Linked DNA regions of Mus musculus. The protein of the gene in region 1 interacts with the protein of each later gene in a biochemical or structural test. Links are inferred from orthologs where the notes say so. Each region holds a gene or a part of one and is shown on either strand. Other genes may lie near its edges.

Evidence for each region.
Region 2: the proteins of Ralgds (region 1) and Rap2a form a complex in vitro, tested with the Homo sapiens proteins (2 studies listed by BioGRID). The link is inferred for Mus musculus from reciprocal best matches to the Homo sapiens genes RALGDS and RAP2A.

What each region holds. Positions count from the first base shown.
Region 1 is NC_000068.7:28,539,795-28,543,599, reverse strand, and holds part of Ralgds (ral guanine nucleotide dissociation stimulator), read right to left. Parts: intron 2,890-3,805; coding exon 2,779-2,889; intron 1,311-2,778; coding exon 1,117-1,310; intron 819-1,116; exon of another isoform or gene 749-818; coding exon of another isoform or gene 746-748; coding exon 650-745; intron 47-649; coding exon 1-46. UniProt on the Homo sapiens protein: Functions as a guanine nucleotide exchange factor (GEF) activating either RalA or RalB GTPases and plays an important role in intracellular transport. Interacts and acts as an effector molecule for R-Ras, H-Ras, K-Ras, and Rap.
Region 2 is NC_000080.6:120,477,081-120,481,416, reverse strand, and holds the start of Rap2a (ras-related protein Rap-2a), read right to left. Parts: upstream 2,957-4,336; 5' UTR 2,691-2,956; coding exon 2,377-2,690; intron 1-2,376. UniProt on the Homo sapiens protein: Small GTP-binding protein which cycles between a GDP-bound inactive and a GTP-bound active form. In its active form interacts with and regulates several effectors including MAP4K4, MINK1 and TNIK.

The DNA.
Region 1 (3,805 bases):
CTCTGAGTATTGGTCCAGCCAGGTGCCCAGGATGGAGGAGATGGCACTGGGGACACGCAACAGAGTCAGAGGCATGGTCTCTCCTCGTACCCTCCCACAGCATCCTGGTGTGCCTCCACCCACAAGTCCCCTTTGGCTGTCCAAGTAACTAGACAGAGGCTACAGAGGGTCCTACAGGAGGCAGCAAAGGCTCATCAATGGGATGGTGGCTCACCCGGTTCCCACTCCTGCCCAACTCTACTGGAATGGAGATGCCCAAAGGGCCTGCCATTCAACCAGTGGCAAGGGTTACCTCAGTACCTATTCTTTGTAAGCCAGGTATGGGTTGCATTTTCCTGAGGGACTCAGGGACCAGCTAAATGCCCATTCTTAAGGAGTGAGGCTGCACGTCTATTGAGACAGGCTATGCTAGGGAAGGATTTTCACAGTGACTGGTTCTGAATCAATCAATCAATCTCTCTCTCTCTTTCACACACACACACACACACACACACACACACACACACACACACACACACACCCCTCCTCTTCCATCTGACACAGGGGTAGCCTTAGACCTTAGCCCAGCATCAGGAACCACATGTGTGGGCCTATAGTTTGCTCGACCCTTGTTCCCTAAACCTCCCCTCTGGACGTAAAGCCTACTTACTTTTTGAGTTGGTCCTGCGGTCCGCCGTCCTCACTGGAGTAGGGGAGGATGCAGCCATATCTAGAGGAGGCCGTGAGGGCGTCACATCTACCGTACCTGCTTATGATGTCTAGTGTTACTGGTCAACTCCCTGATGGGAATGGGGCCCAGGGAGGCAGGGACTCAGCTCCTGTCACAGAGTTAGGTGCTTGGCAACATGGCTACGCACAGCAGATTGCTTTAGAAACCGAGGCACTTCAGCAGACCTGAGGTCTCTCAGTCGATTACCACAGGGCCGTCCTTGCTCTGTGTTCTAGGTTGAGGTCCCCTCCTTTCTATGTAGGGAACCCACTTAACCTGAGGCTGAGGAGAGGAAGGCCCTGGCAGCCCACCCTGACAGGAGCCTGAAAGGAGGCTTATCCCCAAGCTGGGCTCCCCCAAGGTGCGGCCGGCAGGAAGGGTGTCCTGGGTCTGGCGGCAGTGCTCACCTTTTGAACAGCAGGTCTAGCACCTGCTGGGTGGTAGTGAAGGCTCTGTAGGTGCACAGGAAGACAGTGACGTAGGAAAGGTCACTGCCCTGGAAGGCAGGCACCAGGTGTTCCACCAGCTTCTCCAGAGTACCAGCCTTCACCGTGCGCACCTTGCAGGTCTCATAGAGGTTCAGAGCCGACTCGTTCTCACACTGCGGGGACAGGAGAAGAGCGAGGTCAGTAGCAGGGTCATGTTCTCAGGGACGCTGGAGGCTGGAGCTCGGGTCACCTCCTGGACACCCTCAGCAGAATGTGGCCCAAACTGGGACAGAGGGTCTCTCTCTGGTTTTAAAGTCTTGGATTTTCAAGCAGAGTTTGAAGTGTTGAGCCCTTCAGGGCGGTTTCTTAGGTGAGTGACAGCATTCTCTAACATACTCTGTGGGAGGGGGATGTTTCCAAACTGAACAGTCCATCCTAGAGGTGGAAAGACAGGCTTACTCCGGGGGCGGGGGTGGGGTGGTGGTGGACCCAGAATGTTCCCTGAGCAAGTTCAATGACCACAGGAAAGAATCATGCTGGATGCAACAGTGGTGAAGCATGGCCGTGTGGCGGCATCAGCGCTGTCTTCTGGAATGTTATGTGGCTGAGTCGGTCAGGCTCAGCTTCTTAGCTCAAGGGACCCACAAGACTTGTTCTGAGACAGCAAGTTGCAGAGAAGTGTATACATGTTGAAGAATTTTGTCAACTTGATACATCTGACAAAATTAGAGTCATCTGAGAAGAGACCCCCCGCCCCCAACTGAGAGATGCCTCCTTAAGCCTGCTGTGGACAAGACTGCTGGGAGAGGGTCCAGCCCTTGTGGGTGGGGCCGTCCCTGGGCTGGTGAGCCTGGGTTCGTGAGACAGCAGGCTGAACAAGCAATGGGAGCAAACCAGTCAGGAGCTCCCGCCCCTCCATGGCCTCTGCATCAGCTCCTGCCTCCAGGCTCCAGCTCTCCCCTCCTGACTTCCTTCAGTGATGGATGAGGATGCCAAAATGTGAGCCAAATGAACCCTTTCCTCCCCAGCTTGCTTTTGGTCATGGTGTTTCTTTATAGCAATAGTAATCCTGGTGAGATGGCTCAGTGGATAAGAGCACCCGACTGCTCTTCCGAAAGTCCGAAGTTCAAATCCCAGCAACCACATGGCTCACAACCATATGTAACAAAATCTGATGCTCTCTTCTGGAGTGTCTGAAGAAAGCTACAGTGTACTTACATATAATAAACAAATAAGTGGAAAAAAAAGAGTTTAAAATAAAAATAAAAAAAAAAAGTAATCCTAAGACAGACCGCTTACAAAGCCTAAACTTCCATTCAATGAGGGCAAAGGGCAGTCCTGCTGTGAGAGGATTTCTGACACTAGGAGGAAGAGGACAGGGGAGGGGAGGAGTGACATGTGAGGACAGCTTTTAAACCGAGCAAAATATTTGAATATGCATGGCCTTATGGGCAATGAGAAGCAAAGCCAATGGCTTCTCTTCTCACCTGTGGGTAGGGATGTCAGCAGGATCTTTGTGCATGGGCTGGGGAAGGGAGGGAGGCTCAGCCCAGAGTCGCAAGAGGGACTGGGGCCCTCAAACAGAAAACTCTGGAAAGGAGTCTGGCAGGGTCACCCTCCTGGTCTCCTCTCCACACTTACCCCTAGCCAGCGCTGGCCCTTAGTGGCTCCTTGGTGTAGCTGGACCTTGCGCAGGGAGATGGAGTAGATGACCCCGTTGATCAGCTCCTCCCCAATCTCCTGCGTGGAGCTCTGGAAAGACAAGGCCCAAGAGCCAGGCCAGGCCATCAGGGGTCTGCTATAGGGGCATGGCACAGACAGGTGGCTTCTGGACTTCCAGGGCGAAGAAAATGGAGAGCCAGGACTCCCCTTCCCACCTGGCTCCTCACGACCTTAAGGTCAACATCTCAGGAACCTGCTCCTACTTAGTACTGGACAGCCCAACACAGTCTACCTGGACAGTACTGTTATTCAGCCATTTCAGAGACGGGTAAGTGGAGGCTGAGGCAGCCAAACTGTCTGGTGTATATGACAGATCCCCTATGCCAAGGCCCTAGCATGGTCACAGGTGGCACTGGCCTCAGAACCCAAGGCCAGGGTCACCCACACTCTTCTTTCATTGTCCCATCTGAGGTTCCAGGCTGACCAGGCAGCAGCAGGCAGCTCTTTCTAGCCCAGTGCTGGAGTCGGCACCATGGCTCTAGGGCAGGTGCAGACGCTGACCACATCTGAGGCCACTTCCTTCCCCTTCTGCTCATTCATGCTGCTGAGACTTCTTGGGTAACATGGGGGTTCCCAGCTGGCTGTTCTTCCTCATGTGAGTGAGTGGGGTACTGCAACAGTGCTGGGGATCCACAGAACCCCAAATCATGAGGCCTATATGGAGAAGGGGGTCATGTGACTGCTTCTCAGAGCCTAAAGCAGAAATGAAACATTCACTTCCTTGCACCTCAGGCTCTCTCTACTCCTGCCCTCTGGAGAAGGGATAGAGGGGACCTGATTCCTGGAAGTCAGTGGGTAACAAGAAGGCTCATGACCCTAAGCAATCCTGGCCTGGACCCTGTGGGAGTGTCATGTGTTCCTCAGCGCAGGGAACTTCCCTTCAGACACTAGTGGCACTGTCATCAGCTAACCCCTGACCCAAATCTAGAAAGTCTTTCAGCAAAGA
Region 2 (4,336 bases), on another chromosome or scaffold:
ACACACCTGTGTAGAAGAGGCTATATGGACTCAGACATCTTAAAAATTCTCTTTATCAGTAATTGGTGAGTTATCAAGCCATAGCCTTTCAGTTATGCCAACTGCACTATGGCACTGTAACTAACCGCCCCAAAGCTCTTGTATGTCATATGTAAAGCAGACAGCTGGCACACAATGGGCAGAAGATGGAATTACTGAATACTTCCTATAGCAACTGAGTAGTTAAGGAACTGGTCCCCCAAAGAGTAGAAAATGCACTAATGTAAACCCATGCTTTCTCTTGAGAGGAGTTGCGTGCCCCCACAGCAGGTTTGAGTATTGCCTTATACACTGCTGTACAATGGGAATAACCTACAGCTCACCCGGACCTGGAAGGCAAATGATGAACTTAGGGTGAGGTACAAAAACCAGGACATAGAAGTAGGGGCCCAAGCTGGACACGGACCTTTTAATCTCAGTGCCCCATGGCAGAGGCAGGAGAATCTCTATGGATTTGAGGTCAGCCTGGTATGAATGGTGAGTTCCAGGACAGCCAGGCCAACATAGAGAACCTGTCTCAAAAAAAAAAAAAAAAAAAAAAAAAAAAGAAAAAAAAGAAAAGAAAAGAAAAGAAGAAAAAAAGAAAGTGGGTCCAGAGAGGCTCTAATGACACAACATTTACCCCACAGGAAGTTGCTCAACTCAACTCAGCTCATCACTGCTCTTCTTACATCAAGAGCTGCAACTAGTGACCCTGGGTGAATAGAATCCCAATCTCAGTCTGTTGTCCTGGGTTGAGATGCCAACGGACTGCTCTAGTAAATAAACTGGCCCATCATTATAACTGAGAAACGTGAGCTACACGAAGCCAACAGAAACTCCGACATGATGTGGCCCATGCCATTGGGGATCTTAGCACAGACGTGTGGGCATGCACTGGGTGTGAAGGTGGGACAACTGCAGCACTTACATCATGATCTGTAAACAACTTCGAGACAAACGTATTAACACACCCACACGTGTGTACCACACAAGGAAACACATTTCTAAAAAATAACACTAGAGAAGTTAAGGCTACCAGTGTCACCAACTTTGGGAAAAGATCATAATCATAGCCACTGCTTTGTGATTTGGAATTTAATGCGGGAATACAGAAATTTCTAGTCTGGCTGGAGCAGGCACTGAGGAGAGGGCATTTCCTTTGACCTCTGTACAGGGTTAAAAACCCACCACTAAAAAAAAAAAAAAAAAAAAAAAAAAACACCACTTGGAAGGAATTTTTAAGTACTCCCTGAATACAAATAACTTGCTCTGAGCTCTGAAGTGTATAAACCCCAAATGATGGATAAGTGTGATTGTTTCTACCTAAACCTTCAATGGTGACTTCAAATGTAGCTACAGGTAAAATAATCCTGGAAGACTGTCAGTAGTATTAGTTAATAAGGACCAGAGAGGAGCGTTATCAGTAAAGAAGAACTAGAAAATGATGCCAGAACTCTGTAGTAACATGTTAGACTTTCAGTATTTAAAAGGTTAAGGGGAAAATGCATAGCATCAACTTAAGAGAGAACAAACACTAAAAGCATTCAGGTCACCAGCCACATGCAAAAATACATCCTTTGAACACTTTATATCAGGAAAAAGCTTGTTTGCTTCTTCTTCTTCTTCTTCTTCTTCTTCTTTTTTTTTTTTTTTTTGCATTAACTTTAAATTAGCTGATACACAAGCCAGAACTCAGACTAAACTTCTGTTTGTTTTCCAAGAATAGCCTCCTTCCCTGTTCTTTTTTTTTTCGGGGGGGGGGTGCGGGGGGGGGATGAGGAGGCTAGCTTTTAAGAGAGAAAGAGAACTGAATCTGCACGCTCTCCGCGTAAATGTCACAAGTGTGCTTCTATATGCCAAGCCAACTGAATGTTGTGTGGTCTTCAAATTATTTGCCAATGTGTCTTTAAAGTTTTGCACTAATCCATTTCTGCCAACCTCCTGGCAACATTTAATCTTTTCCGCAACGAGAAAGGTCCCCCCTAACTTAGTATTGACACTGTCACAAGATATGTATGTACAAATTTCGGCTGTCAAACCTCTTACGGGTGCATTTAAGCGCGCGCTCACTCTTCACAGGCGTGCCTACACTAAGACAGCTCCCCTTTCCCTAGCGCCCACCTACTCATCCCTTCTTTCCTTGCAAGTTTGAAACTTTGTTCTTTCTAGGGTCCCGAAGAAGCGCTACCAACGTCCTAGAGACAAAGGGCTGGGCTGAGGGTTAACAGGATGCCCAATTTCACTTGTGAAACAAAGCCCACAAATCTGAGCCCCTGGAGGAGGTGGTGTAGCCCGGGCAAGCCAAGGACCGGGATCGCCGCAGCCACCGAGCCCCGTGTGCCCCGCTCTGCTCACCGCTTCACGCGGATGATCTGGTCCCGCATGGGCTTGATGTCTTGGAAGCTCTGCTGGTTGACCAAGCTGTAGACCAGGATGAAGCCCTGGCCGTTCTTGATGTACAGGTCCCGCATGGACGCGAACTGCTCGGTGCCCGCGGTGTCCAGGATCTCCAGCACCGAAGGCGAGGAGTCCACCTCGATCTCCTTGCGGTAGAAGTCCTCGATGGTGGGGTCGTATTTCTCAATGAAGGTGCCGGTCACGAACTGCACGGTCAGGGCGGATTTGCCTACCCCGCCCGAGCCCAGCACCACCACTTTGTACTCGCGCATCGTCCCTGCGCGGCCGCCGCCGCCGCCGCCGCCCGCGACATAGACCTGCGCCCGCGCGCCGCGCCCCGACCCCGCGGCCCCGCCGCCCTTACGGACTCGTCGGCTCACGGCCGCGGCAGCGCCCCGGGCGCCGGCAGCGGGGCTGCAGCTGAACGAGTCGTGCGCGGCCCTGTGAGCGGGCCAAGCGGGAGGACGATGCAGCCCCGAGGGCGAGAGCAGCAACAGAGCTCGACCTCGAGCCGGAGCCGCCCGAACCGCGGGCCCGCAATGCCGCCCGCCCCGCCCCTCGCGCCTCCACGCCCAGCTCCCGCCGCCGCTGCTGCCGCCGCCGCCGCCGCTTCCCCAGCGCTGGAGCGCGCGCCCGAGCCCAGCCGCAGCGCTGCCCGGGGCGGAGCCAGCCGGGTGGGAGGGGTCTATAAGAAAGCCCGCCCCTCGCGCCGTCGCCTAGCGACCGTCCGCGCGCTCCAGAGAAGACCGGCTTCCGCGACACCCGGCAACACCCAGCCTGACCGGCCTCCGTACTGCGTCTGCGCGCTCTCCTCCGCCCGAAGGCAGGCAACGTCAGACGCCCACGCTCGGGGGTTTGCGGGAGGTGACGGTGGAGGGACCGTGGGCTTAGGAAGCCGTGCGCACCGTGCTTGGGGACCTCAGGACGGGCCGGCCTATGGCTGACATACATGACTCAGCCTGTCAGCCTTCGGAGAGCTTTGGCTTGATCCCGTTATACGTAACGACGTGAGCCTTAAGGGCCGCCGCCATGAGTTACACAAGCAAATCGAAGCTCGGCTAGTCCGTGGCGCCCAGGCTACACGCAAACCCGGTCCGCGCCCGATGACGTCACCGGCCCGCCCTCTAGCCCCGCCCTTGTCGAGTTTGACGTAAGCCGAGCTCCTCCCCCCGGGCTGGTAGACAGCCTTGGGCGCCTGGAAAACCTGGAGCTCGGATCCGCCCCCCACTGTCGGGAGACCCCAGAACATCTCAGCAACAGCCTGCGGGGGTGTCTGCGCGGAAGCTCGGATTCACTGTAGCCAATCAGATTGTGAGTCCGGACTCTAGACTACCACTCTTGACCAATGAAAAGGCGTCTCATCTTGCTAACCAATTGGTGTAAGACCCAGTGATAGACTGAGCCAACTCCCCTCCGGGGCCTGGAGGGGCTGAGAGTTTGCGCTTGCGCACGGCCTGGTACCCAATCGTAGGCCAACTGAGGAGTGACAGAGGGCTGGGCGGAGCCAATCAAACCTGCACTGTGGAGACAGTGCAGGGCTGCTGGGGAACTGGGAGGGGCAGGGTTCGAGCGCCCGACCCCCTGGTGTTCTGGCACCGGAGCGGGTTGCGTTGGCAGACAAGAGGGATGAGTTCTGTTCTAACGTCGCCTCCGTGGCATTCTGCCTGGAGATGGGCATGGAAGTGGTGGCAGAGGATGCGGGCTGGATCGTGGGCTGAATCGAGAAAACTGGGACTTTTGTCTTCAGGGTGAGAAATTTTCCGGTCCCTCAGGAGACATCCATCTGGCAGCAGTTGCTGTGGTCCTCCGATCATGCCTCCTCAAATGTGTATTTTCTACCCCGTTGTAAACCAGCGTATCTTTGGCCCCCGAATCTTCGTCATACGCTCCCAGCCACAATCGCAAATACATGAAAATT